Rhinolophus ferrumequinum: one gene and its partners. The protein of the gene in region 1 interacts with the protein of each later gene in a pairwise test. Links are inferred from orthologs where the notes say so. Each region holds a gene or a part of one and is shown in the gene's direction. Other genes may lie near its edges. The genes, in order: MORN4, RANBP3, BEND3 and NUTM1.

Region 1 (7,950 bases):
GGCATTCCAAAATCCTGCCAAGGGGCTCCGCACTGTGAAGTTTATCCCTTTTGCAACCTTTCTTTCAACGCCCCCGGCCTTCTCCCTCTGGCTGTGCGAAACCCTAAACTCCCCTGAACAGGCCCACCCTCCCCACCCCGCTCTCACCCCCTGAGGGTCCTTGACGAAGTAGCTTCCGCTGGAGCCCTGGTAGATGCGCTCCGGGAAGATACAGCGCTCGATGGCCAGCTCTGCCTGCCGCACCACCGCCTCGAACTCGGGGTCCTCCGGAAACTCGTTCCGCTCGCTGTGGGCCTGCGCGGCATGCGCCGCCGCCGCGGCCTGAGCGGCCAGGGCTTGGGCCTGCGCCGCCACACTTTGGGTCTGACCCTGGGCCGCCGCGCCCCGGGCCCGATCCAGCAGTGGCTGCCGCTCCCGGTCGTGGCCTGGCGAGCCCGGCGGAGACGGGACCAGGCCGGCCGCCGCCGCCACTCGGACCGCGCCCCCCGGCACCTGCGGAAAGTGAGCTCCAGAGCCGGACGGGAAGGTGTAGTCCGGGGGTTGGGCCCGCTCGGGGGACACTAGTGGGCTCGTCTCGTCCATCCCTCAGGCCGCCGGCTCCGGGACCCGGCGCGCTGCATACAGCTGAGATCCCGTCCGGGACCAATCCGCAATACCTCCAAACCCCACCGGGCCAACCAGCTCGCGGTGCCTCTTTGGCCCCGCCCCTACCTACCCTGTTTACTTGGCGACGCGTAGGCACGACCCCTCGCGCGCTAACACTAGCCAATCAGAACCAGCGCCTACGCAATCCCGTCCTCCGCATATTTTGCTCGCCACCTTCTGTGAGGACTGCGCATGCTCTAGGAGACAAACTTGGGTCAGACGAGCCCTCAGTTCTTACCAGCCCCGCCCCGCCCGCGCCTTAGCTTTCAATCGCTGACTTATCTATGAGAGTTTTCAAAGTAGCCTACTTAATCAGTCACTAATTATTGCGTGCCTGCTACGAACTAGCTGTAAGACTGGAAAAATCTAATCTTTGTATCTGCATTTATTCAATCATGCAGTCATTAAATATTTATTGAGCACCTACTATGTTTTAGGTGCTGGAGAGGCAGCAGTGAAGCAAACAAACAAAAATCCCTGCTCTACCTAAATAAAAAGGTCTGTTGTTGTTTTTTTAAAATCCCAGCCCTCATGCAGCTTACACAGTGCCTGGCCCAAAGCTCAATGTTTGTTAATTGAGGAAATACATGGTCCTATCAGACAAAAATTCCATGAGGTAAGAGTCCATGACTATTTTATTTATCACTGTAAATCCTCCGTGTCTAGGCACAGTAGATGCTCAGTACATGGTTATCAGTGAAAAAGAGAAGGATGATATAGTCCCTGCCCTCAAGCTGAAGCCACACAGCTCTCTGACGCAGTAGGAGAAAAAGAGCCAACAATAAGTGCTGAAAACTCCATAATAGGAGTTCAGCAATTTGGAGGTAGGCTGGAGAGTCAGTAAAGGCCTTAAGTGGGGCATGTGCTATGATCTAACTGTTAAAGGAAGAATGTAATTAAATCACTGGGGGAAAAAGGGGAGAAAAGAGGGACTCACAGATATTTGAGTTTGAACCCTGGCTTCACATTTATTAGTTATGAGTTATTTAACTCTCTAAGCCGCAGCTTCCTCATCTATAAAATGGGAATAATCATCTCCTCTTCAATTGATTAAATAAGAAGCAAGATAAATATGTAAAGAACTTATAGCACTTCGTACCTAAAAAGCACTCAACAAATGATAGATTTTTATCACTGCTGAGGTTATTGTTGATGCTTTTGGTTTTGTGCTTAAAGTAATCAGCATGGATTTTCACAATTGGTGACCAGCCACATAGTAAACAATATTTCATAATCATTCTGGAGAACAGAGTGAAGAAATAAAATGGTGTCACTATAGTCAAGCCGCTAAATTACTAAAATCAAGTTGGTTGAGGCATGAGAACATTAGTCTATTCTTGTTTGAACTAGCCTGGGAACTTAAATTTTGAACTTTCTAGTCCTGTATCAATGCCTGGATATACATCAGTTCATGGACATACACCAAACCTCCAGATAACGCCTGAAAGACTCACATATCTAGACCACCTGACATCTATTATCCAGACCATGGATGTGACAAGACCTCTTGGCACCCATCTTCCAGATCACATGGCATCCATCATCCAGATCTCGTGATAGCTGACTGATAACCACCCTGGGCCAATCCTAGGGCTAAGAATACAGAACTGATTATTCTTAAGAATGCACTTTTTACTATAAGAACTCTTAACTTTCCTTTTTTTCTTCAGAATACTTCTGGGTTTTTGCCTAGTTGTGTTTTGGGTTTGTAAACCCTAAGACCCTTAAATAAATCATTATCATTTATTTCTAGCCAAAGCCTCCAGACTCTTTTTTAGTTTGTTCAACAATTCTTTCTTGAATCAAATTATTGGCAGAGCTAACTAGAAGTACTGAATTGTTTAGTTATATTATGGCAATGTCTTAAACATTTTCTTGCCAAATAAACCATTCTAGCAAATGGCCATACAGATGGTTCAATTACCCCCTTTCAGATACAAGACATGTAGTTCCCTTTCCTACCCAAACGCCAAATAATTAAGTAATATTTGCCTTTTGTGTCCTAGGGGCCACAGCCACAGAGATGATCTCCTGTATTAATTATCTTATTTAGCCCCTAAGCTGCAAATTATGGTCAAGGAAAGCTCCAAGATTTAGAGTTCTCCCTTGAATTCTGAGTTTTCTCTATGGAAAACCCTTATAATATGTTTCAGCATCTACTTCTCAGAACTTGACTTTCCTTTTACCGAAAAGAGTGTCAATACATTCCCTATTACCTATGAAGACTTAGCACTTACCAAATGATAAGCATGTGCCAGATATTATTTTAAGTGCATTACATGGAGTAAGTTATATAACTAGCATTACAGCCCCTGTGATGTTGGAAACTGAATAAAATAACTTGCTTATAGTCATGCAGCTGGGAAGTGGCAGAGCTGGATCCAAATTCAAGCAGACTAGTTCCACACTATATTGTTTCTTATTAAATACCTCTACAAAATATGTCTCATATTTATCCCCCTTCTTTCCATCTTCACTGATGCCACATTCCAGGATGTCTTAGTTATGTTATTACAATAGCTTCTGAATTTGTTTTCTGCTTCCAATTTCTTTATTATTATTATTATTAGTTGCAGGTGTACAAAACAATGTAATAGTTAAGACATTTATACCCCTCACAAAGTGATAACACCGCACCCCCTCCAATTTCTTTCTGATCATCTCTGTGTATCACTGCCAGAATAATTTTATTAAAACACTGGTTTCACTGTGTCACTGCTCTGGTCAAGAAACTACATTTTTATTGTGGCAAAATATACATAATATTTATCATTTTACCCATTCGTAAGTGTACAATTCAGTAACATTAAATCCATTCATAATGCTGTGTAACCATTACTACTGTCTCTACCCCAAACTTTCTCATCAAGACAATAAAAACTCTGTATTCATTAAACAATAACTCTATCTTCCTATAGCACTTGGTAACCTCTATTCTACTGGTTGGTGCAAAAGTAATTGTGGTTTAAAAGGTTAAAAATAATTGCAAAAACTGCAATTACTTTTGCACCAACCTAATACTTTCTGTGAATTTGCCTATTCAAGAAACTACATTTTGCAAACCATACCCTCTCTCTAATTTTTCAGGTTTCTCTATAACTTGACCACAACTTTATTTCTTCATATTTTCTAATACAGACTCTCCAATCTGATTTCTTAACATTCCATTCTCTCAACTGCTGTAATTATATCAATAGTCAATACCACACAATTTTATCATGTTTAACCATTGGGTGTTAGAGCTGGATTGAATTTTATAGGTCTTCTAGTCCAATCTTATTTTACAGGCTTGTGAGTTTAATAACTCGCTTGAAGCTACACCCAGTTGGTGGCAGGGATTTGAACACAGAATCCAAGTCTTTTAAAACTGTTTAGTGAGCCCTTGCAATTTCTCAGACATAGTACTGAGCATTTGACATTGTATTCTCAAACAAGTCCTAGGCTGCCTTTATCATCATCGTTATAATTTTCCATCGTACAAATGAAGAAAAATCTCACTTCAGAGAAACAATTTGCTTACTCTCTTCATGCGTTTGCCTTCTTTTAATAGTTAAATATAGTCTAGGATTTTTCCACGTGCATGCATCTTTTCTTCTCCACACTTGGGCAGTAAGTCACATGAGGACAGTGATCATGTCTTTTCTAGACTGGCAGAACCTAGCAGCACGCTGCATTCCCATTGTTCAGTAAATAAACATATAGATAAACGGATTGGCGTGCGCAGTATTTTGGAGGATTTGCTCCAATCTTGGCACGGTATTTTAAAGACAAAGGACCTGGGTAACGACATCGACAACACAAATCCCTACAAAGAATGCAAACGTGTCCTGATATCACAGTGCTGGCATAGAGTCGACACACATTGAACTACAGCTGCCCTGTCCAACGCGCTGCAATTTACAAAGCTGCACCTCAAAAGCCGTGTTTAGGTTCTGTCCTTTAACTCCGCGGCCGGGCCATTTACAACCATGGAGATCCGCGCAGGATCGAAGCCGCTTGAGTTGGTGGTCACTGTTGTGTCTGACGCTGGTTTGGTTTGGTTCGGTTTGGTTTTCACATTTTGGCTAGGCTGTTGCGGGGTAGGCGAGACCCGAGTTCTCTCATCAGGATTGCCAAGGAGGAACCCGGAGTTCAGCCCCACCCCTCTTTCGGATATTTGAGAGGGGTTCTCGAGACATTTCGCCCCGCACAAAGATGGCGCCGAATCCAGGCTGAGCCAATGGAGAATGGCGTTGCTCCCGGTTGCCTAGGTAACAGCCAATGGGCAGCGGGAATTGTGCCCAGTGCGGCTACCCGGGATGGCGGCGTCAAGTGGGGCAGGCACTGGTGGAGGTGGCGGAGAGGCAGGTGGCAGGGGCGAACCCCGCGGAGCGGAGGTCCGGGCTGCTGGAGCCCCGGGTCGGGGCGTGACCGTCATCCAGAAAGGCGGAGCCCAGGTTGGCTGGCAGTGCGGGTTGGAAGGGGCTGGGACAGTGTGATCGGTGAGGAAGGGACCGAGGAACCCAGCCCTAGATGACATGGGCTGGAGAGCGCGGCTCCGTGCTCGACGCGCTGACCGGAGGGCGGCTGCCCCGAAGTCCCCAAACCGGGCCTCGCGTCTCCACCGCTGGGTGCCGAAGCCCAGGAGCGCCCGTGGCACGGGGGTTAGCGAGCGGAGTGGTTGGGGGCTGTGTCTGGAGCAGATGGCAGACCTTGTGCGAGCAGAAGATCCGGCCCGGGAGGGAAAGCAGACCCGGGTAGAGGGCAAGAGCAATGCTGGAAGGCACGAATGGGTGGTTGAAGGAAAGGGGAAGTGGACCAGAAAGTGTTGCCTTGTTGCCATCTAGGGCTTTGTTTGCTCTGGGCCCGCCTCTCTCACACTCCCGTGGGGAGATGTCCCCACACATCAAGTCTTGGGGAATGGGATGCCTCAGTTAGTTGATGGTAGCATCCCAGCATGGTGGCATCACCGAAATGCTTAGGTATCAGCAGCAGTAACTCGGCTATATTACTGTAGTATTTTCCTTAACCATGGCATTTTCCTTAACCATGAACTAGAATGGTATCCTGGCAGTCCCCATTACTCCCGAGTGTTTGTTTGTTTGTTTGTTTTTTACTTTCTTTCTGGTGTCAGGATTTTCTTCTCAGTTTCTTCAATCTAACTGTCCCACAGTCTTCATAAATAAGAACTTTAGTAGTGATACATTTAGTTTACTTTTCTAATAGAAGGGAGACTTACAGTAAAAGAGACGTACAGACTTATAAAAACAGTTAATTCAAGCTCATGTAAAACACTTTAAAAAGAACGTTTGACTAGACTGAGAAACAACGACTTGAACGGGAGTGGGGCGGAGGGGGCGGAAGAAAGGGGGGGGAGAAAAAGAACGTTTGGCTTTTTCTTCTGGGTTTCTTCCAAACCTAATCTTTGTTCATCAAAACCTTCATTTTCTTGTCTTTAGGAGTCTGAAAGCCTAAAAACTGCTTTCTTTATAACTGAAGGAACTTTGGCAAGACTGTTATACTTTGGGAGGGGTGGTTTGGGAGGGGGTGGCCAGTGTTGAAGGTATATGTGGGTAAAGTGGCTGCCCCCAAACAATATTCTCAAACTGAAAATTTGTTCCCCTTTATGTGAATTTTTTTTTTTTTAATCCTGAACTGGGGCACAGGTTACTATGAAAGCATACGTATTCTTTTAACAAGTTTGATTTCTAAAATTTAAAAAAAGACGAACGGAATGGAAACAAAAGTTACCATTCCTGCCTCCAACTTCTATCTGGAAATGTCTGGGTCAGGAGAAAAGAAAACTAGCAGGGATATAGTCTGTTGTGCAGACTAATAGTGTATTAGTTTACACGGACAAAATACTAATTTCCTTTCAGATAGATGTTTGGATTGATCCTTTGCAACCCATCCGGCAAGAGAGCAGAAGGGTGGGTATTTGTTTAGAAGAAGCATGAACTATCTTGACTCTGTATAGCTGAAGCCTAAACTCATAGGCCCTCCATTTTATTTAAAAAGATTTTTTGAATAACTGATACACGTACTGATTTGCTAAAGTATTGGGTTTTCAATCTTCATCAGCACTAACTATACTTTTTAAGCTAGATTTGTCTCAATGACCATGGTGACTGGTGAAATTTCTTTCTGGGTCAGTGGCTATGCAGCTGACCATTAATTAGCATGGCTGATTACAGAAGTCATAAATGAAAAATCCTGACACTATTCCAGGCAGTGACAATATCCATTATTTGGACATAGGTAGAAGTTTCTAGTCAAGTGTGTTCAACCATGGCTTGAAACTCATGGAGTCAACATGTGTTCCCTTTAATTAGCACTTCTGATTATATTCTTGGGAATGGACATCACTTTGACAGGCAACTGTTGAAGGGAGTTTGCTCTACCTCCCTAGATCAAAAAGGAATGGAAATTTGTAGTACAGTATGGACTTTTGAAAACAAATAGGAGAGGATGGTGGCAGGGTTAGGTTGAGAGATGATATTCCAGTTCCTATTGCTGTATGACAAATTACCCCAAACTTAGCTGCTTAAAACAACCATATGTTGCTCACAGATACCTCAGATGTGATCAGGCTTAATGGCTTGCAGAGGGACTGGAGTCATCTGAAGTCTCCTTTACTCACACCTGATGCCTGGGCTAAGATGATTCAAAGATGAGACCTGCCAACCGGCTCACCAATACCTGTGGCTGTCGGTGTGGCTCAGCTTCCTCATAGCTTGGTAGCCTCAGGGTAGTCAGACTTCTTATGTGGTGGCTCAGGTCTCCCAGCACAAGTGTACCAGTGAGCAAGATGGAAGTTGCGTGACCTTTAATGATCTAATTTCAGAATACACCATCACTTCCATCATGTTCTATTGGTCAAAACAATCATAAGATCATAAGCCTACACAGATTCAAAGGAAAGGAGTTAGAGTCCACTTTTGGTGGGGCAATGGCAGGGTCTAATTGTAGAAGAATGTGTAAGACAGGAGGTATGTTTGCAAACATCTTTAGAAAATACAGTCTGTCACATTTGATTATAAGAACATAATCTTTCAGGTTTCATTGGCTTCCTTGAAATAGTTAGGGTTATTAAAGAACAAAAATTCAACCGAGTAAATTTAAATATCTCATTGGCTTTATGAATGATTCCTGAATTGGGCAGCATCCCATCTAGTAAAAATAGAAAGGTATTTCCGAGGAGTTGTACAAACTGAAAGGTTTTTATAGGCAGAAAGAGTGTGGGGCAAAAGAATGGATTATTTCAGGCAAGTTTACCTTCCCTTAGGGGAAGGTCAGGGGTCTGTCTTATCAAGCAGATTACATCAC
Region 2 (6,866 bases), on another chromosome or scaffold:
AAGATGAGAACTGAATTACAGCTCTGAAGGCCCTTTTTCCTGGAGCCTGACTGCAGAAGTCATTTGCCACCTTGGCTGTGGAAAAGAAAGTTCACAGTTCTTAAAGCTCAGCTCGGGCTCAGGCGGACCTCAGACTTGTCTTCTGGTAAACCAACAAGGAAGCAGCAGGCAGCAGAGAGGCCAATGAGCCGTTTAAGGTAAACCATTTAGATCCCTCCGCTTCCCACTTGCGATCCTGGTACTAGGACAAACTCCAGACTCCTCGCTGTGGCCTACAAGACCCTGCCCACCCCTTCCTGACCGCATCTCCTCACTCTGCCCTGGCTACACTGAGCTCCTCCAGCTAACCAACCTGGTTCCTGCCCCAGGACCTTTGCACTCACTGTTCTGTCTGGAAAATTTCTCCTGCAGATCTTCTACTAAAATGTCACCACCCAAGGGAACTTCCCTGACCAGCCAATCAAAAGTGTCCCCTTTCTGTCACTGTCACACTAATGCTGTTTTCTTTGTAACACTAGTCACTATCTCAAATTACTTTGCTTACCTGGCTATTGTCAGTCTCCCCACAGCAGAATGCAAAGCTCTGGGAAGGCTGTCTTGTTCATCCTGGGCCCCAACCTGTAAAGCAGTTCCTGATGCAGAGCAGGTCTGCTCTGGATATATTGCTGCGTAACAAATACCCCCCCAAACTTAGTGGCTTATAACAGCAGCCATCATTTATTTTTCATGGTCTCTGTGGGTGAGGAAAGGGATGTACTAGGCTGGGCAGTTCTCTCGGGATTTGTGGTCTCAGCTTCCTTACGGCATGGCAGCCTCAGGACAGTTGGACTGCTTACACGACAGCTGAAGGATTTAAGAGCACGTGTTCCAGCAAAGCAGGCGGAAGTTACATCCTCTGTCCCTGTTATGACCTCACCTTGTAGGTTAGTGTCATTTCTCCAGTACTGTTATTGATTCTCCAGTTCCGTAACAAGCACAGCCTCAAAGGGAAGGGAACAGAGACCTCACCTCCTGCTGGGAAGTGAGTCAAAGAATTTGGGGCCATATTTTAAAACCACCACAGCAGGTGATCAATAAATATTTGCTTAATAAATAAATATTGACTAATTTGTTGCAGACCAGATTTAAAAAGCAAAGGAGGCCTAAGGGGCCCAATGTTGGCAGCTGCTGGCACTGTGACGAGAATTGTGAAACCAGTGGAAATTCAGTTGGCCTGCTAGCATCCCTTAATGTGCCTTGAAAAACCACAACTGGGTTATATTTAGCAAGTGATGACATGTTGCTGGGAGTTCCCCAAAATGTGGGATGACTGTGGCGTATGAAATGACTTTAGGAGACATGTAGACATGGCATTAAATGACACCAAATCACATGGATTATAGTTATCCCATTTTCAATTCTCTTTCACGCCTTCTCATCATGTCAAGGAGAAAGTTCAGTTGACTGCTAATATGCCTAAATCCCTCTCTAATACTTTTGCTAATCTCTCTTTACATCAAGGAAAAAGCAGGCTTGGGGCTCAGCACCTTGGCAGATACAGTATCTACCCAGAATTTAAAAACCTTGTTTTGTTTTCCTGTTTATTTCTACAATGATTTGTTATACATAGCTTTGTGGTTTCCTATTTTTTGTGTGTGGTTTTCTATTTTAAATGGTGACATACAGTATCTATTTAATGTAAATTTAAACCCATAAAAAGGCAAAAATATTAAGTTCATTCAAGGTCAGAGGGTTCAGATTCAGCAAAGGCCAAGGAGACTTACCCAAGAGAAGTTACATGTAATGAAATATAATGAATATAATGAAACCAAGAAGTTAGAAATGAGAAAACCTGAGTCCACGCGCTGCGGGCCACCAGATGGACTTGACGATCCCCGGGGACCTTTCCAGCATTGACCTTCTAGCTATTCCTGGAGAATTTCTAACTCAAGGTCTGTGGATTGTGCTTCTAGCCTGGTGGGAAAATCTAGGGTAGCAGAATTCGTGTGTCTATTAAATAAAGTTGAGGGGAATTTTTAAGAGTTATTAAATACACCCCCATCCCCAACAATACCAAGAAAATCAGCACTACAAACCAGGGTTCAATTTATTGTTTTATTGTCTTCTAGACTTAAGAGATAGGAGAATATCAATAAGATTTATAATAAACTATACACACAGAGACATACATACATACATACATACTGCACACACATTCTCCCTCAGAGCAGTTGTTTAACACTTACCACCCCCCCACTGATTGTACAGATCTCTACAGGACAACAATGTAGATACATGTGTCCTAGATTAGAGGTTGGCAAACTTCTATAAAGAGCCAGACAATAAAATTTTAAGTTTTGTTGGCCAGACAGAGTCTATTCAAAGGACTTAGCTTTGCTGTCGTCGCTGGAATCGGCCACACATAATACATAAATTAAGTATGGCTGTTTTCAAATAAAACTTTATGGACACTGCAATTTAAATTTCATGCGATTTTCACATGTTATGAGATATTACTCTTCTTTCTTTTCCAACAATTAAAAATACCATTCTTCGTTCACAAGCCAGATGTGTCCCATAAGCTCTAGGACCTCCTGGTTTAGATCACTCTGGAGGAGGCGTGGAACGGGGATTCAAACCTAAACGAGACATGGGACACAGTTCCAAGCAGAGGGATCAACGAAGGCCAAGATCCCGAGGCTGGAAGGACTTTGGTGTGCTCCAAGGATGGAAAGACCCATGTGGCTGAACCGCAATGAGCAAAGGGAAGCACGGGGGCAAAGCACAGCGAGGGGGCTGTGTAGCCTCGATAAGAGGTTTAGGATTGATTCTTAGCAGAAAGCTCCTTGGAGGCCTTAAGGAAAGATGTGCCCCTTCATCTAATTTTCATTTTTTAAAGATTCCTCTGCGTGCTGCTGTGTGCGGAACAGAGACTGGACCTCTGGAAGAATGAAAGGAAGGAGAGCAGGGAGAGAGGGAGCCATCCAATCTTCCCGGAGAAAGATGAGGATGGTCTGGCCTGGGGTGAAGACAGTCCAGCTGGTGAACGGGTGGATCTGGGCTGGATTGTGGAGATGGGGCAGAGTCCACAGGGTGTTCTGAGAGAGTCATAGCAGGTTGAGTCAAGAAGGAGTCCAGGGTGTCCAACATTCTCACATCCGCCTGTGGGATTGATCAGCCCATTTTACAGAAAAACTGGAGGCCCTGCTCCGCGGCAGGCGTTGTTCCCTTCAGAGCGTCAGGGTCTGGAGATCCTGGAACTCCCATTCTGGTGGCTGGGGAGAGACCCTTGCGCTGGGTCTCCCTTCCCTGTGCCCCCCGACCCCCACTGACACACACCCCTTTGGTCAGTAATGTTTAACCTCTGACCTCTGCTACCCCCCCAACCACTCCCACCTCCCCCATGTGGCCTCAAGAAAGCATTTGCCCAATGTACTTGCCCCTTAGAAGGGGAAGCTTAAGCCTGGGGTGACAGGGAGCCCCAAAACTGTCCAGCAGGCTTGCCCCTCTGGCCTCCAGGTTGCGCGTGTGGAAAGTACCCCCACCACAGACCCAGGGATTTACCTAGAAAAAGGCCTCGATCGCAGCACCCTAGATGGCTCACTCTCCCACCACGGGGATCCCCCGGTAAACAAGCAAAAAGCAGAGGCGTCAAGACCCAGTGCCCGCCGTGCACGCTCACAGAACGCTCGTTCCGTATTGCCCGCGACGCGCGGGAGGGCCACTGCGCATGCGTCCTGCCCTGTCCATACCCCCTCGATCGGCGGGAAAAGGAGGCGGGGACGGTTAGGGCGCAGGCGCGTGCTCACAGCTGGGCCAGGCCAGCCCGCGATCCGGAGCTCGACTCCGCCCCCGACTCAGCACGCAGGCGCGAGCTGCCCGCCTCGCTCGGAGTCGGCTAGGGAAGTGCGCACGCGCGGGAGTTTCTGGCAGAAAGCAGGCGAGCCCGGGCCGGCGCGGGGCCTTGTGGGAGGGCTTAAGGAAGTAAAATGGCGGACCTGGCGAACGAAGGTAGGGGAGGCGCCGTCGGGGGCCAGCTGGCGGTCAGGGAACGGGCGGAGGGAGGTCCAGGGACCACAGGTCCGACGGGTGAGCACCCCAGAGTGCTGGGAACCCATCTTCTCTGGGATAGTGGCGCAGCGGGCCTCGCAGCCGCCCCCCATTGCGTCCCTCCAGGCCGGGCTCACCAGCCCGGCCCATCACTCCCGGCAGCCCCGACCCTGCCACAGTCCGGCCAGAGAGCCGGGGAGGCCGCTGGGGCCGCGGCTCTGAGGCCCTTCCGCCTTGCGGACCAGGCCGTAGGCTGAAGGGGGTGGGAGGCGCGGCGCCAGCGCCTCGGCCTCGGATGTAAATAGACTTCTGGGCCTGGTGGTGGGCCCTGCACGCCACCCTCCCTCCCCGCCCCCTCGTTCCCAGGGACCGGGGCTTTCCCCCTTTCCTGGCCTGGCTGCGGAGCAGGCCCACCCGCTAGTCCTGGGGGTTCTCATCCTCCGCGGGCCTGCCCAACTCCAAAACAGAGGACGCCAGGTCTGTTTTCACCCCCCACCCCGAACTCGGCCCCCAGTTCTCCCGGTTCCGTCGTGGTGACCTGAGAGTCGCGCCTCGCCTCCTTGCATTTTAGGCCCGGCCGCAGGATGTGGGCCGCTGAAAGCCCTGATTTCTCTTTGGCCCTTTTTGCTGCACTTTCAGAGAGAGACACACACAGAAACTGTGTGATTCCCTCCTCTGCGGAGCGCTGACATCCCACCTGAGCGTTTTTGACAAGGTTCCAGTTGGAATCCCCCATAGAAAGCACTCCATAAGCCGATGTCTGCTTAAATCAACAGTGGTGTTGGTATCGCTGTAGCTTCAGGACTTCCGAGGCCTATTTTTAGTTCCCTCCGTTTCTAGGTGCACAGCGACCGGCGCGCTATTTCCCTGCCTGGTCCTGATTCCCTCCCTATACCATGCTCCCAGCTATCCAAGGGTATCCTGAGGTTTCCAAACTGAACTGCAGGAATGCATGAATGATAGTGATAAATGCTCACCCTGGTGGAGCATTTGGGATGGTACCAGATATTGTTCAAGTCTTGATCACGGTATGTTACCTTGGTTAATACTCATCCTCAGAAACTCCATAAAGTAGGTAGGTAGTGTAGTTCCGTGCACTTGGTGAGGACACTGAGTGACTAAGTTACTTGTCCAAGGCAGGCCACACAGTAAGGCACAGGGATGTGAATCAATGAGGTCTGGCTTCAGAACCTCCTACCCCCTTAATCTTACAAAAGATATGCGCATAAAATATGTCCTTTTATGCGCATATCTGTTGTAAGATAAGGGAGCCCATAGAAGATTGAGCATTCCATTCATAAGATCCATTTAAAGGCCAAAGAGGGACTGGACGAATGGGAATCAGTATGATATAACTGTACATTTACATCTTCGGCCCATTCAATTTCTTGATCTCAAGACTCGCATATCCAGCATCATATTCAGCATCTCCATTTGGATGTCTAATAGGCCTGTCAAACAAAATCCCTGTCTTTCCTCCAGAACCTGTCCATTCCACAGTGTTTCCCCCAGTGTAGTAAATGGCAAGTCCGTTCTTTGAATCAGGCCAACACCTTGAAGTCACCCTTGACTCCTCTCTTTCTCTTACACACCACAGCAAATCTTGTCAGTTCTTCCTTCAAAACATTTCCAGAGGGTGACCACTTACTACCAACACTGCTGCCCCTTGGGCTTCCCTTCCACCCTTACCCATCTGTCAATTGCTCAACCCAAAAACCAGAGTGGCCCCCCCATGCCTCCCTGGCCTCTTTTCCCACCACTCTCTCGCTGACTCTGGCTTTCTCACTGTCTCTTGAGTGGTCTCTATACTCCCTCCTTTATGCCTTTGGACCTGCTGGTTCCTCTGCCTGAATCAGTTTTACCACATTTATCCCCATGGCCCACTCCTTCACTTTTTAATATTTAATAATATTACTTTATTATTGAGACTTTCTCTGGCCACCTATTTTAAATTGTATCCACATTCCCTATCCCCTTTATCCTACTTTATTTTATTCCACAGCACTTATCACCATTTGGCATGCTAAGTTTACTTGTTTGTTCAACTGCTACCCTTCTGTTAGAATACAAGCTCCATGAAGGCAAAACCTTCTGTCTGTCATCACTGATGGGATATCCCTTATACCTAAACAGTTCCTGGCACAGAATAAGTATCCAAGAGATGTTTGTCGAATGAATGAATGAATGAATGAATGAATGAATGAATGAATGAATTCATCAGTGAGGACCTTTATTGTGAGGTATACTTTGAGCATAAAGGGAAAATTACAGATTCCTATTTTCCAGGGATACCATTTCTAGCATATACGTTGACACATGAGCTGTCAATTGTAAATTGCATAGTCGAACAGTAAGTGTAAAATAGAGAATGGAATGTTTTGTACTTAAAATTTTTGCCTAATACAGGCCACACTCACCTACCGTGTTTCCCTGAAAATAAGACCTAACTGGAAAATAAGCCCTAGCATGATTTTTCAGGATGACATCCCCTGAACATAAGCCCTAATGCATCTTTTGGAGCAAAAAGTAATATAAGATCCGGTCTTATTTTCAGGGAAACACGGTAGTACTTTGCCTTTGATACTAGTTCTGTCATAGTTGTCCTCAGGAAATCAACTCTGTTTATGCTTCACATACCCCTGCCGTCCTTTAATTGGTCGTTTCTTGACTCCATTTGTGGATTTGGCTTGGATGTTTAATTTCTTATCCACTGTGTAAGCTAAGATTCCTTGCCGTGCATTTTGAAGCTTTAGGGACTGCCCCATCAGTGTGCTTTCCCTCTTGCTATTTAAGCTCCAGACGCCCTCTTGGCTTCTGTCTTTCCAGAGTGGGATCCT
Region 3 (6,850 bases), on another chromosome or scaffold:
ACTAAAACCAGATCCTAATGGCTGTGTTGGGTGCATCACATCTCAAGCTGCTATAAATTATTCAATAGTTCTTCTACACATAAGAAAAACTGCCCATCACAAATTCTCTGCAGCTTTTCATTCTAAACCTCATTTTTCGCCTTGTGTCATTTACCTGTTCCGAATTCCACTGAAGGTAGTTGTTTCCCCCCGACAGCACACAATGGGTCAAACTCAACTCCCCGAGCCCAACTTTCCAACCAAAAGTCAGTTTTGCAAGTTATTTAGCAAGGTGTGTCTTTCTATAAGTTGTTTTAATAAAGTTAATACATGCCTCTCCGCCCCTCCTTTTTTTCCCCTCTTACTTCTGTTTTGAGTAGTTACAGAATCTGGATGTGCCAGCAACTTTGTTTGAAGTTGAAGACTTGGCAAAATTATGCACCCAGCGTGCAAGAAACAAAGTGAAAATGTCTCACAAATCACAGTGAAATCTGTTGCGTTGTTTTAAGACTTAACTAATGAAGAAAAAAAAAGCCCTAGTAAATATTGTCTTGGCAACTATATATTTTAGCAGTGATAAAACCTTTAGAGGAACAGTTAAAAGATAATCTGAAACCTAATGTCTGTCTGCCACTTTTAATGATATATATTTACATTATATCCCACTCTTTTTGCATTCGAGTTTTTAGTGTTTTATAGGATTCCTTTATATGACCAACAAGCTGCATTTACTCAGGTAAAATTGGAAATGAGTTCATTAGATCAGTTGCAGCAGCTCTAATTTGAAATCTTGGAAAATGCATTTCTAATTAAGAAATTTCCAATCAAGCAGACCTCTAAAACTCAGGTTGGTGTTTTTTTCAGGTCTTTCTGCACATCCTTACGAAGCCTGGTCTATCATTCCTCCTGACTTTTTAGCATTGGGTTGGACAGAAATTGTGTTTTCCCTTCCTCATTCCTCTCCTCATCTTACTCCATGTTTATTCATATTTTTTCCATAAGGCATTACTATTAGCCAATAGCACTTTCAGAACTATTCATTTTTAAGACTCCAAAATACAACTGCAAATACAACTATTCCAATGCAGGGGGTTACACCTTCATGTACTATTTTCCCTTCCTCCTGTTAAGACAAAAACCACAGGCCTAAAATGGCATCACTTGTGCTAAAAGCCCATGACACGAAACCTAGATTTAATATCTGATCTATTTACAGTTTCAACCTTTCCCAGAAATATAATCTTAAACAACCAGTCTGGAATTTTCTGGTCAAGCACCAGTAAGGTAAGAGGCAATTTGCATGATAAAAACCTTTCCCATTCCCCTCCCCCCAAAGATGTCCTGGCCTAAAAAATAATCCTTTCTTTTCTTTTGTTAATAGTTTCCTTATCCCACCCTTCTTCCTATAAAATCCTTCCAGTTTTGTACAACCCCTGGAGCGCCTTTTTAGTTGCTAGATGGGGGCCCTGCCCAATTCATGAATTGCTTAATAAAGCCAATTCTTCAAATTTACTCAGTTGCATTCTGTTTTTTAGCTCATTAAAAAAAGAAACTCATAATATACAAAATCATTTGAAGGTAGGTAGTTTCCTTTCTTAGATAGCAATGATTTCTATTTCTGTTAATAATTTATTTGGAATAAACAGCTTGCTTTGTTAAGTAGATTGATCCAGTTGTGTAAATTAGGATACATATTTACAATAATTCTCAAGGTCACTTTGTAATTTCTTGAGAGATGTTTTGAAGTCAGTTATGTCAATTAAGCATCTTGTTTGCCTTAGATGCTATTTTTTAGTAAAATTATTGTATTTGAGAAAAATCTTTGGTTTCAAACAGTATGAACAAAGAAATGTTAATTTCTATTATTTAATTCCTATTGTCTTTTATTATTTAATTTATCCTTAAATACCTGAGTTGTCACTGGAACGACTGACTAAAGATAAATGCTTCACAACACACATTTCATCTAGTTCCTTTTATAAAAATTTAACACGGTCATTTTACATTTTTAAACCACTTTGCATCCACTTTAAAAATGCTAAGTGAGCTCAAATACGTCTTAACTCTTCCTAACTCTCCTACTGGGAAACCTTAGAAAACTGAACGAATGAAATGCAACTTATACTTTTTAAATTCTAATTATGGCTGTCATATTAAATTGAAGGTGAGACTGCTGTATCTGTATAAGTCAAGCGATGTACTACTATATCATGTGTTATTTAATGTGCGAGTGTAAAAGTCAAGTTCCCGGCAGAAATCCAAGTGCCTCCATTCTGTCTTCTGGGAATGTATAAATTAACCATTCACCCCCAAGCGGTCCTCCTCCCTTCCTCCCTCCACCCTATTTTAAATGTAGATAGGGGACTCAAGTCTTTTGAATTTGAAGGGCTGCTTGCTATCTCAGCCCCATTCTTTTCATCATCCTGTTTTGAATGACACTGAGCACGTATAGATTCTTTTATAAAACCACTCCCTCGGTGCAGGGCTCCGTTCTCCTGGCAGCTTGCTAATTTTGCATAGCCATTAGTACTGACTTCTCAAAATGGGCTACCAAATACAGTTCGAGAATGTTCCACGTAGTTCTTCAAAGGTCTTGAATAACCCAGTGCTTTTGGATTTCAAACCTGAAGGGGAGGAACTTGAATAATTACTAAATTCCCAGTTGGAGTGCTCTGGAGGATAAGGTAATCCAAAACTATACGTTAAATCAAACCCTCTCCGCGACTGGGCAGCAAGGAGCCAGCATAAGCCTTATTTTAAAATCTATTCTACCTATTCAGTGACCACACAGGGCTGGGCCACATGGTCGTGTCTTGCAGCCAGTCAGCTGTGAGCAGCAGATGGGATCATTTGCATTTTTCTTCTTATACTTTCTTCGATCGGCAAATTAAAGTTTCTTTTTTAAATTTATTCTCGTTATTTGCTTAAAGTATAAACGTGGTTTAACTGTTGAATTGGGCTTCCTTGACCCTCACACACCACACCCCTTCAAGTCTCTGAGACTTGTGAAAATACTCGAGGGGCAGGTTGCATATTTATCAAGTCGAACTCTCCCATCCGGGAGTTAGGAGTTTAAAGAATCAGCCTTTATTGAAATGGTGACGCGTGCTTTTCTATTTTAAGCGCTGGGCGCAGATATCCCGTGGGTTTGTCTGGCATGTGGGTCTGGGAGCGCGCGCACTTCTGAATCTCTCGCTCTGCAGCCTCAAACCTTAAAACTTAGGGTTACAAGTAAAAGGCAGATGTTTAGCTCTCAGGCTCACAACAGAGGGCGGCCACTCCGCTGGGGGAGTGGCCAGAGCCAGCGTTTCCCAGCGCCAGGGTCGCTCTCCCGCGGCCCGCGACTCCATGCCGGTTCCGCCGGGGCCACTGGGGTCCCTGCGCCCCGATGTCTTTGTGCCGAGCTCGGCGCGGGAACACCCGCCCGGGGGGGCCAGGGCACCGCGGAAATGCCAAGAATTCGGGACTGGCGCTGGCTCTAGGGGAGGTAACGCCCCGCACAGTCGCCGTCCCGCGGAGAAAAAAAAAGTAGAAAAAGAGGCTTTTCAGGTCAAACTCCTCGGGTCTGAGCAACCACGTTTTAGAGAAATGACTCGCGGGGGGAGAACACACAGAGTGCCGAGGACATTGTTAGCCAGCGCTGCCCCAGCGCGTCGTGGGTACGCGACCGCTGCCCCCGCCCGGGCAACCGGCGCGGGCCCACGTGGAGCAGCGCGGCGCCGGCGGAGCGCGCCGGGCCGCTCGGGTCCCTGGAGTGCGCGCCCCAGCTCCCCGCCGCGGCCGTTCACGCCCGAACGCCGCCGCCGGTCCCGCGTGTGCCCCGCTGAGGGGGAGGGGCAGGCCGGGGGTGGGGGCGGAGGGGTTGTGGTTCCACTGCAGCGGGGGCTCCTGTGTCCTTGTGCGGAAATGACACACGGAGTCCCGTCACGTCACGCGAGAGCGCAGCGCACGGACACACACAAAGAGAGGGGAAAATACACGGCGCCCGCCCGCCGCCCCCAGCAACTCCCCGGGCCGCCCCGGCCAGGCCCTCCGCGCGAGGCCCCCACTCCTCAGCCCTGCGCTCCCCCGCACCCCACGTGGCGCCCAAACTCGGCGCGGGCCCGCTCAGCAAAGTACAGAACTCGTGTCCCAGGTAAGTGCGGGGCGGATCAAGCCGGCTGCGCGGTGGCGGCGGCTCCAGGGCAGACGGACGGGAGAGTGGCTGCAACATCCATGCCGGGGTGGGGGCGGGAGCAGGGGAGGGGACGAAAAGGGGGGCTGCCCTAAGCGCGCCCGCCGGGAGGAGCGCCCACCCCCACGCAGGGCCGAGCCGCCGGAGCGGGCGCTCGGCGCCCACGGGCTCACCGCGCCCATTGTGCCGCGCGCCCCTTTGTGCCGCTCGGAACGCCGCGGCTCCATGGCGTCCCCGGGAGCACGCGCGCCGCGCGGGGGCGGGGGGAACGCGGAGTGGAACGGTCCGTGCTGGCGCCGCTGCGCGCCCCACTCGCGCCGCACGCCGGCCCAGCACCCCCGCCGGGCGCCGCGATGGAGCGGCCGGCGCCGCCGGAAAGGCTCTGCGGAGCCCGCGGGGGCTCGGCGCTCGCGCTGGGCCAGGCTGCAGCGGGGGACGGCTCGGCGTGTAGAAGGGGGTGTCAGAGCGGAGCAGGGGGCGGGGACTGGAGCGAGATGCCGAGCGGGGCGCGGGAGGCCGGAGGAGCCGCCGCTCGGAAGGACGCTGCTTCGGGAGTCTGTAAATGGAGCGAGGCCGGCCCGCGGCGGCGGCGGCGGCGGCGGCGGCGGCGGCGGCCGGGAGCGGACGGAGATGGGCCCCGCCGCCAGGGGGCGCAGCGCTCCGTCCCGACCGTCCACGGCGCGGTTCGCGGTTCCCGCTGCCCGGGAGCTGGAGGCGGGCCCGGCCTTGGGTGTGCACCCCGGCTGGCGCAAGGCCTTCCCGTCCGGCCGCGGACTGGAGCCTGGGGCGCTCGCCGTTGCTCCTGCCTGCCTTTCCCTCTCTATTGCAAACGTGATTTCCCACGCAGACTTTGCCCTCGCCTTATCGGTGAGTTGTGCAGTCCTTCCTGTAAGGACTTGTGTACCGAGACACAAGGTGGTTTTTCAGAGGTAAGAGTTTGATTGCTCAGGTGGCTTGTCTGGAAGAATTTTACACACCAACGCTAACCAGACAAGAGTGCGCAAAATAGGGCTAAGCACTTGAGAGTCGTAAATGGTCAATTTCACCTATTTAAAGTAACTTGAATGCTTAACGTGTCACTACACAACACGTAAGGTGCCAGAACACTACAGCTGCAGGAAACTGAGGCAAGGAAGTGAGCTCTTGCTAGCTCTGTATGTAAGCTTGAGGAGATGGAGGAGGTTCTTTTGGTGTCCACACCCCTAACCCCACCCCCGAGTTTATTTTTTTAGCCTACTGTCCCTAGTTTATGGTTTTGTATCACCATATAGGACCCTGTCTGCCTCCTTCACTCTCAGTACTGAGTTTTGCACAAGATTTTGTGTCTTAACCGCTTTACATCCCCAGTCACTAACTTAGTAGGTGCTCAATAAGTATTTGCTAAATGAATGGAGAGCCTCTTGGATTCCAGAAGAAAGGTGGGGTCAGTGCAGCCTGAACCTGCTGGTGGGTTAACCCGTCTGCATGGCCCTTGAACTGAAATTCACAGATCAAACCAGAACCTTTAAAATCTGACACTCAAAAACTCCCGCCACTGAATGTGGTTGTTACCAGAGATGAAAAGTTTGGGGGTATGTAAATTTTATAATGTAGAAACACATGAAGGTTTCCAGCCAACCAGCAAAAGCAATTTAGTGTTAGTGTAGGGGAGGTTGGGGTGTAGCATTTTTTTCTGGCACTTAATTTTGATGACAAGTGGTGATTATGGTTGCTACCCTTATTTTTCATTGTGCCCTTTATTGGCTAAATAAGTTTGGGGAATTATGTATAGAATTAATCTTTGGGGTGACAACTTTTTTATAGCCTCCTCTCGCTCGTGGTTACAGGGATGTATACATGTGTCCTTTCATAGAACTGTACATTCCTCTCTCCCCCAGAGTGAATTTTACTATATAATTTAAAAAATAAAATTTAAAGTCCCCAAAAGCACACATGCCCAAAACATGGATATTTTAATGTGCTTTGTGAACATCACCTTGCTCTTGCTGTGTCTTTTCCCCTCCAGATTGGACAATTGCTCTTCTCCCCCTTCTGATGCTCCAGTATCTCTTTCAACATTATTATTTCAGCCCAGAGCCCTTGTGGTTTCTGGAACTACCGTGTTTCCCACAAAATAAGACCTCACCGGAAAATAAGCCCTACTATGATTTTTCAGGATAACATCCGCTGAACATAAGCCCTAATGCGTCTTTTGGAGCAAAAATTAATATAAAAGCAGGTCTTATTTTTGGGGAAACACGGTAGCTGCCACACATGACCCCCACATGCCAAGCTAAGAGCTCTCCGTGCTGGCTGGCACCAAGCCTTCGGTGTGTCACACAGGAGACGTGCTGGTTCCCTCCGAGTGATGGTTACTGCCTGGCATGTTCATCCCCGAATGACCAGACTTTTACAAACTGTTGCTTTAGAGCTGAGTTGTTCTCAGCAGCTCTCCTGGTAACATGCCCTTCCTCCATTTTTCATCCAACTTGAAACATAGGTATTTAAATTCAGCCCTCTTAGTGTTTTGTTCTACCAAGGACCACCTTTCCTCTTGTCTGATTTTCAGTTATCATTGGCCAGTGAAACACAGTTGCATCAGTATCTATAAAGGTATTGGTTGCTCAGTTGAACATCACTTAATGGTCTTTTCTTGTATGCAAGAGGCTGTTGGTTTGAGCATGGAGCTAGTAAATAAAAGGATGGAGGCTTGGGGTC
Region 4 (7,874 bases), on another chromosome or scaffold:
GCATCATCCTTAGTAATAAAATCAGAACTGTGTTTAAGACCTGAACCAGGAAATTCCCTTTTATCAAATGACACACAAAGTCCACACTCTGGTTAAAAAGATCCACATAACAAAATGAGAAATAATCTCCACTTAAAATGTAAACCCCCTCAAAACTAGGTGCTTTATAATGCTTGTGCCTATTAATTCAGGCTCAGTTTGTTGTTGTTGTTTTTCTTACAGTGTAAGTTTACGGTAATTGCGTGGAGATATTAATTTCAGGAGAAAATAAGTTTCCATCCTAAAGAACTCAGACCCTCGCCCAATAAGGCTCCGTTTCCTACCTTGAGGCAGCAAGAAAGTCACCTCCCTGAGGGATGTTTTTTTCCTCAGGCAGGCCTGTTCATTCAAATCTCAAAGACTTTCCCCTTACAAAGAAATGCTGGCTTTCTACAACCAATTTTGCTTCATACACAGAGTGTTTTCATTAACTTATATATACTACCTAATACCTAATAGTATAACTCTTAAGACTCCCATTTCTGAGCACGTCTCAAATGTTAATACCTAGGGTACCAAGGAAAAATCCTTGGTATATTCAAACCAGTTTGCCTTTCTTTTCAAATTCAATTCAGAATATTTCCATGTTAGTCTTCTCATTTCAGTCTACACAGAATGTAGCATGGAACAAAGCTAATCTTTCTTTGGGGAGGAGGAGTAAATTATAAGGACAGAATTACTGTCAACATTAAAAAATACTGGTAGCAGATTTGATTAATTGATTTTGGTGCTTAAGAAACTTCCAGAGCAGATCCTTTTTCTTTTTCTTCTGAATTTTTATGAGTTTGACTCAAAACTGACAACAATGCCAGGAAACATCTGCTCAGCAGCTGCTTTTTCTAGCCATTTGCAGAATTTTTAATATTTCTTCAATCATTATCCCCTTAATGGGGCAAGAAAAGTCTTTAAAATCCCTCAGATCCAATGCTAAGAACCTGTAAGTGACTAGGCTAAGAAATAAAAAATTATTGACAGGAAACAAATATTTTGTTTCACCATTCCCATATGTTTAAGTAAATAATTGACTTGAAAATCATGTCTTCTATTAACTGTGACCCAAGTTTAGATATTTTTTCTTTTTTTCTCAGCAGTCAACAACTATCCTGAACTTCTCTGCTGGGATGGTCAGACATCAGATTCCAAGAGAAACATATCTATCCCTTTGCAGGGCCAGTCTGGATAAATCAAATTTGTGCTGAGATAAGTTACATCTGCTTCTGGAGTCTAGAATCTTGATGCAGTAGAAAAAGAAGATTGTAAAATTAGAACACAATCTCCACAAAGCAATTCTTAAATCTGTGGCATTAAGCAAACATTCAAATCCAATGTCAAAAGCCATGAATGAGATGATTGGGGACATGAGCGGATTAACTTGACAAGGTGAGGTAAAAGCAAGCTAGCATTTCTTGAATGCCAGCCAGTATACAATATTTTGCCTCATCATCCCTCTAATATAAAGCAATTGAATTAAAAATTTATGGTTGCCCTTTGACAGAAGCTCAAATCCTTAAAAATCTCCCAGGTTTCTTTTGTTATTAACCACCAACGATAGCTTGAAAAACAAAATCTCCACTTCAATCTCTCATACCTCATCTTTTAAATTCAGATCCACGTAGAGTTCCACATAGCAGCTAGCTCCCAGAGAGAATATAAAGTTAGGTGTATGTAAGACAATTCCTTGATGGAGAGAATTAAAAGACTGCGACTATTTCCAGAGGAGCAGTAAATATGCACAGAGGCATTCATATTCATAATGGTGGAACAACACTGTGGATATATATCCGCCACTGAACCCAATCTGTTATAGAGTTGGAAGAGAACTTAGAAATGAAGAAAAAATTGGGACTAAATAGGTTAAGTGACTTTCTTAAAGTTATGCAGAGAGGAGCGCATCTTGGTCTCCTGACTTCCAATTCACTGCTTTCCCTCTACAATATGGTTGCTATTATTTTCAAGCAACTCTTCCATTTTAAGTCAAAATGTCACTTCAAGGGGAATGATAACAGGGGTATTTTTCTGTAAATGCTGACAATTATGTAAATCTTTCTCAACCTTTCTTTCCCTTCCCCAACACCCTCCTGTCACTAATACAGCACTACTCCTGCTACAGCAACGACTTAGGATTTTCTTCCAAGTATTGTTGTGCCCCTGGGTACACTTCCCTCCCATCTCTCTTCGTTTTTTGTTTTTTTAAACCACGTCCTTCTTCCCACAACATACAAAATAAGAGCTCTTTCAAATCATTTTAATAACCAGACAGTATGTCAAAACAGGAAAAGAAGATTCAAACTTGTTCCCTTTAAGGTGTATGCTACCATGATTGCCTCGCACAAACATGATCAAAGGTAATGTTGACACCAGATTCCAAAAAGAAAGGGTGGTAACAAGGCATCAAGGCTCACAGATTGCAGCGCTTGGGTTCGGAAAGTCTCAGAGGGGTAGCAGGCGGCATGAAATTAAGGGACCCTCAGAGGACAGGGCGCGGTTGCTGGGTCATCAGCACCTTGAAACGTTTCTTGATGGTGATTCGGTGTCGAGAGTATTTGTCGTCTGGGGAGAACCGAGCAGGATGGGCCGAGCAGGTCTGTTGTCCCGTGGGGTCAAACTTCTGCTCCAGGAAGAGAGAACATAATCTCAGTACAGGTGTGGTGAGAAAACTCAATCACTGGCGTCATAAAGGAGATGGAGGCTGGGATGGGGAGGGGGACGCGCGGAAAATGATCATAAGGAAGACAGAAGACGCGACGGTCAAAGTAGCACTCATACACTCCAGCTACTACCTTACCACGCCTGGCTTCTGGGCTTTCCAACTCCCCCCACTCAGCTAGGCAACTCCGCGGCTGGTCTCAACCGCTCCACCCACCTCCACTTTTCGCCATGCCTATTTACATGTTTCCTTTTCTTACCTTCAGGGTATAGACCCGCTCTCCCTGTTCATTGAGGTAATACTGGAGAAACATGACCACGATGAAGACAGAAGCTCGAATTCCGTCAGCAGCTCAGTCTAACAGTCTCTCGTGTTTGCCAACTTCCTTCCTGTGTAGCCGGAAGTGTCTCTCTCAAGGTATGCTGGGAAATGTAGTTCATTTTAGGCTTTTTTCCAGCTGGGCAGAAGGGGGCGCACTAGTGCAGGACTTGGCCCAGTTGCAATCCAGTTGCAACCTTGTAGACTTTGGTGCCCAGTTGCAACTTTGTAGGCCTTCTAAAACACATGGAGGGTGCCCACTGTGTGCCAGACACTGCTAGGCGTTAGAGGGGGATAGGGATGGATATGAGTTGAACATTAGTGAATAGAATCCTGTCTTTATCGCAAGATGCACACCCATATCAGGGGCAGTGGATTTATAGTGCGTTGAGAAACAAAGAGCTCCAGGATTCAGAGCCCCTTTACCTTATGGAAGAGGGAAGGTTTTTCTTCCCTCCCCTCTTTTTCTATCCGGTTCTCCGGCCCTATTTCAAAATATTGGCGGTAAAGAGTGCATGATGGGTATTTAATATTCTGCACAGCAAAGAGAGCGTGAAGTTGTTTTATGAAACTGGTGAAGTATGTTTTAGTGATCGAACCAAGATTCAAACTCAGGTCTCTCTACCACAAACTCAGCGCTTATAGTGGTGAGTAGCTAATAATAGCATAATAAGATGTACCTTCTAGGGGTTATTTCGAATGTTTTAAAGAACGTGTAGAAATTCTCCTTATAGGACTCTAGTTTAAAGAAATGAAAACTGGAGCCCAGGTAATATTACAAAGATGACCTTTGCAGTATTATTTATAATGTCAAAAACATTGGAATATACATTAATGTTATAACCAGGAAACCTGAAAAAAAAATTTTTTTAAAGAAACGTAAAACGTAATGATAATACGTGTTTACTTGCAGTGCATAAAATATCTCTGCAAGGATTCACAGGAACATAATATTGGTTTCTTTGGGAACAAAGAACTTGGTTCCAGGGGAAAAGAGTGGGAGAGGGAGACTCGCTGTACACTGTTTTGTATAGTTTTACTTTAGACCCATGCTAATGTAGTTCCCACTTTAAAAATTAAAATTATTTAATAAAATTTTTAAACAAAAATAATTTAACAAACAAAAGGACTTTTTGGCCTTGAAATTTTAGGTTGAATGCCTGTCTTTGATAGAATGGGGCTTTTCAACCAAGGGTTAAGGCTAAACCTTCTGTGGACTGCAGAGCTGATGGTGGACTATTTGGGAACTGCAGGACAGCTTTCCAAGGAAATGATATGCATACAGCAACCAAACACCCTGGGTCTTCCCAGACAATCCTAATTTCAAGCACTCCGTTCTCCAGATCCTTAAGTACACAGACTGTGTGTTCTGAATTTGGTTCAGAAAATACAGCGAACATTGAATTAAATCAAGGGTCTGCCACAACCTTCTATTAATAGGAAGTCAGTTACAGAACTGGGTGGGATTTAAGGGCACAAAACTAAATATACTGGTGAAGAATTGTGTAGGGAACGGAGATGTACTAATAAAACTATAATGTTGGGAATCTGAAAATTTACAAATTGCCCTAAAGAGGTAGACAACAATTGTGTTGCCAAACTCTGGTTTGGTGGGAATTCCTGGTTACTGCCAATTTACCAGAGCCTGCTGTCGAATATCTCCCTACCCCAGCCCCACATTCCCCTATCCCCTCCCCCACTGCAGACTTCCTTGAGTTCTAGATTCCAGTTCTGTTTTGATCTGATCTTTATCCTCTCCTCCTTGGATCCCTGTGTATCTACTGGAGCCAGGTTACTCTCTGGGTCCTCAACCTGACTGTCTCATTCTGGAGGCTTCCAGACAGCCACAGCTAGTGTCCAAACCTGAGAGGATGACTTCAGATGGAGGTAAGTCTGCAGGTGATGCAGAGGGTACCCCACCCCCTGCCACATCCTTGGGGATTCAAATTTGACACTTTACCTGGGGACAATAGGGGTCTTTGTACTGACCTAGAGGGACATGAGAATATAGATGCTACCAAAAAAACAATCACACTTGGAGAGGCTGGGAAATAAGTTTGTGCCATGAAGACTGGGGGTTGGGAAAAAAAAGACTGGGGGTTGGGGAAGTAAGAGGGCCCTCTGGGATGCAGATCTAAGTACCTCAGAGGAAAGTGCTGAGTATAGAGAAGGGATGGCAGTTAGCAACTTGCTTCTCTGGAAGAGGGACCCCGTTCAACATGTGTTTGTGTGGCAGGGGCAGTGGTATGTGTGGCACAGAGAGGGTTCAAGTGGAAGTCCCAGGATTCTGGGTCTTCTTTTGGTAATTGGAGCTTGTTCTAGAATTTTCCCCTGAGAGAATTGTGCTGGGGTCACTCTCGATGTATTGGGGGGTCAGGGTGGGGTGGAGGTCTTAGCTGGAGAAGCTGTTCAGTGGGGTTATCTGTTGCCAAGTCTGTGGAGAAATGCCTTCCTGATAGCTAGACTGGAAGGTACTATAAGTGCCTCTGCTCAGAGCCTCATGGCTCCTTCCAGCCCCAGAGGTGGCTTCTCTTTCAGTTCAGGGAGGAGTTCTCCTTGATTCCCCCAGAGCTAGAGGAGGTGGATCACTCCAGCCAGAATGAGAGCTGGGGCTTCCCTGAGAAGCTCTCAGTTTTTCTATTTTTTTGTGAGGCTCACACCTTCAGTCCTATTTCATTGCATCCGAACTTCATGGAATACTCCTGGCCCTCTGCTCTGTTGTCGAGATGACACATTTGCTCATATTCCGTGTCTCTTTCATGGTCAGGGAGCGGAAGCTGAGTGTTGTTAGTTTGCCAGGGGAATAGTCTTTATAAGAGGGGGAGGAGAGTAGCATGAAATTAGGCAGATGATCTATTATTATTATAAAAAGTCCTAGGAGACACATGTCCTGATTAAGTAACGTTTTATGTATTTATCCTCGGTCTCTGACAAGAGCCCACATAAGCTCCTTCTTAGCAGGTACTGTTTCAGACTTCATTGTCAGTGCCTTGTTCTTGGTGGATCCTATATTTCTGATAGGGAATCCAAGCTGGAGGACCACAGATAGTCTGCAATGCCAAATTTTAACGTGTCCACCAGCTACTTAAAGCTCTGGAAACCTCCCTCCCCACACAGCCCTCCCCTTGTCCATATCCTGGCCCTTATCTCTAGTCATTTTTAGCTATTATATAACAAAATTTCTGAGAACCAAACATCTGATCCACACACCCTCTCCTGGGAACAGCACTTCTGTGAGTGGTGGCAAGGACCACAGACCAGCTGGGAGCAGAGTTCAGGTGGTTTGAATGGGTTTGGAATTTGTATGACTATATATTCCAGATGTACCTGTATCCTCTGTGGGACGTGTTATGGAGTATGAGCTCATGGGTCCAAGAGTCACTGCTACTTCTCTAGTGCAATGATTTCCAACCGGGAGTAAGGAACATCAAAATCACTTGCAAACTACAGACGTTCCCCTCCATATATACCCTTCCTTACCTGTTGAGAATCAGAGCTCTGATTTTTCAGTAACTGAAGTGCAACTCTGATAATGTAGCTTCTGGTCTGCTTTTCTCCTACTGCACTCCCTCTTTTTCTTTGTCTCAACAGCATCTCCATTGCCTGGACCAGATATGACCATGATACCTGGCACCGCCCTATCTCCCTTCATGGCACTTCCCTTTCCCCCACCTGCTCCTGGCCCACCAGACCAACCACCCTGGGAGCTGCCTGCACAGCCCCCTATGCCTTCAGCTTTCCCTCCAGGCAACTCTTTGATGCTCTCCGCTTTCCCTAGCCCAATGTTGGTGACAGAGGATGGGGGCCCTGGCCACAGTGGGGCTGGAGCTGGCAAAGTCATTGTCAAAATCAAGACAGAAGGGGGGCCAGCTGAGGCCTCTCAAACTCAGAACTTGATCCTTACTCAGACTGCCCTCAGTTGGATTGCCTCAGGTGCTCCCTCTGGGGGCCTCGAAGGTCCTCCTCCTCAGTTTGTGACAACTTCTAACATGAAGACCTTTCTAGCTACTAAGGCTGTTGGAGTGAGCCAGGAGGGCCTCCTAGGCCTTCCTGCTCAGACTCCACCGTCAGCTTCCCAACTGGCTCTCCCTGTGTGCCCGGAAAACGCTTGGCCTGTGCCACATGGGGCAACTGGAGGAGGTCTGCCAGCCACCCAATCCCAGCCCTCACTGGGTGACCTCTCCTGTACCTCCAAGGGTGTTTATGAGAACTTCCGACGCTGGCAGTGCTACAAAGCCTTGGCCCGGATGCACTTATCCCAGAGTCCTGATGCAGAAGCTCTTTCCTGCTTTCTTATGTAAGTGGGGAGACCTGAGATTAATTATCCTAGGGCTTTTCAATAAGGAGGGCTTTGGGATGGACAGAAGAGGTTACGCTATAGGAATATTCAAGGGCAGGTCATGAGGGTGATGGAGAGATGCTCTGAGTACCAAAAGCATGATGATGATGATGATGACGATAAGCCTTTTCAGTTTTTAGCAAGCCTTCAGTTGTGTGCTCTCAAGTGATGCTCACAACCCTGTGAGTTCAGGCAAGCATTTAGTCCTCATTTATAGATGAGAAGACTGAAGCTCAGAGAGGTTTCCTACCATACAGTGAGGAGCAGTGGTTGGAACTTGGGTCTTTGACACTAAGTGCCAGGTCCTCTCATTCTATTTTAACACCTTCGGACATTGAGTTGAGCCATTCTAACGGGCCAGGATAAGGTGTGACTCATTCCTGTGGGAGAGGATGGTGCGGGACCAGACAAAGGACCTTCTGTGCGTCACCTCCTCCACCGCTCCCTATTTTATTCAGGAGAATTCAAATCAAAATGGGGAGGTGGTAAAGCTTGCTGAGGTGAAGGGCCTAGGCAGCACCACTCTCTAGT

What was found.
Region 2: the proteins of MORN4 (region 1) and RANBP3 interact in a two-hybrid assay, tested with the Homo sapiens proteins (2 studies listed by BioGRID). The two-hybrid records come from large-scale screens. The link is inferred for Rhinolophus ferrumequinum from reciprocal best matches to the Homo sapiens genes MORN4 and RANBP3.
Region 3: the proteins of MORN4 (region 1) and BEND3 interact in binary tests that used the Homo sapiens proteins (3 or more experiments, as listed by UniProt). The two-hybrid records come from large-scale screens. The link is inferred for Rhinolophus ferrumequinum from reciprocal best matches to the Homo sapiens genes MORN4 and BEND3.
Region 4: the proteins of MORN4 (region 1) and NUTM1 interact in binary tests that used the Homo sapiens proteins (3 or more experiments, as listed by UniProt). The two-hybrid records come from large-scale screens. The link is inferred for Rhinolophus ferrumequinum from reciprocal best matches to the Homo sapiens genes MORN4 and NUTM1.

The regions. Positions count from the first base shown.
Region 1 is NC_046299.1:26,201,568-26,209,517, forward strand, and holds the start of MORN4 (MORN repeat-containing protein 4), read left to right. Parts: upstream 1-4,943; 5' UTR 4,944-5,081; intron 5,082-5,148; exon of another isoform or gene 5,149-5,288; intron 5,289-6,503; 5' UTR 6,504-6,554; intron 6,555-7,950. Other genes in the region: PI4K2A (phosphatidylinositol 4-kinase type 2-alpha), read right to left, coding at 148-582. UniProt on the Homo sapiens protein: Plays a role in promoting axonal degeneration following neuronal injury by toxic insult or trauma.
Region 2 is NC_046301.1:58,230,009-58,236,874, forward strand, and holds the start of RANBP3 (ran-binding protein 3), read left to right. Parts: upstream 1-3,845; 5' UTR 3,846-3,968; coding exon 3,969-3,990; intron 3,991-6,866. UniProt on the Homo sapiens protein: Acts as a cofactor for XPO1/CRM1-mediated nuclear export, perhaps as export complex scaffolding protein. Bound to XPO1/CRM1, stabilizes the XPO1/CRM1-cargo interaction. In the absence of Ran-bound GTP prevents binding of XPO1/CRM1 to the nuclear pore complex.
Region 3 is NC_046286.1:60,222,848-60,229,697, reverse strand, and holds the start of BEND3 (BEN domain-containing protein 3), read left to right. Parts: upstream 1-3,837; 5' UTR 3,838-4,114; intron 4,115-6,850. UniProt on the Homo sapiens protein: Transcriptional repressor which associates with the NoRC (nucleolar remodeling complex) complex and plays a key role in repressing rDNA transcription.
Region 4 is NC_046289.1:70,959,503-70,967,376, forward strand, and holds the start of NUTM1 (NUT family member 1), read left to right. Parts: upstream 1-4,860; 5' UTR 4,861-4,875; coding exon 4,876-4,891; intron 4,892-6,595; coding exon 6,596-7,301; intron 7,302-7,874. Other genes in the region: NOP10 (H/ACA ribonucleoprotein complex subunit 3), read right to left, coding at 2,507-2,647, 2,946-2,999. UniProt on the Homo sapiens protein: Plays a role in the regulation of proliferation. Regulates TERT expression by modulating SP1 binding to TERT promoter binding sites.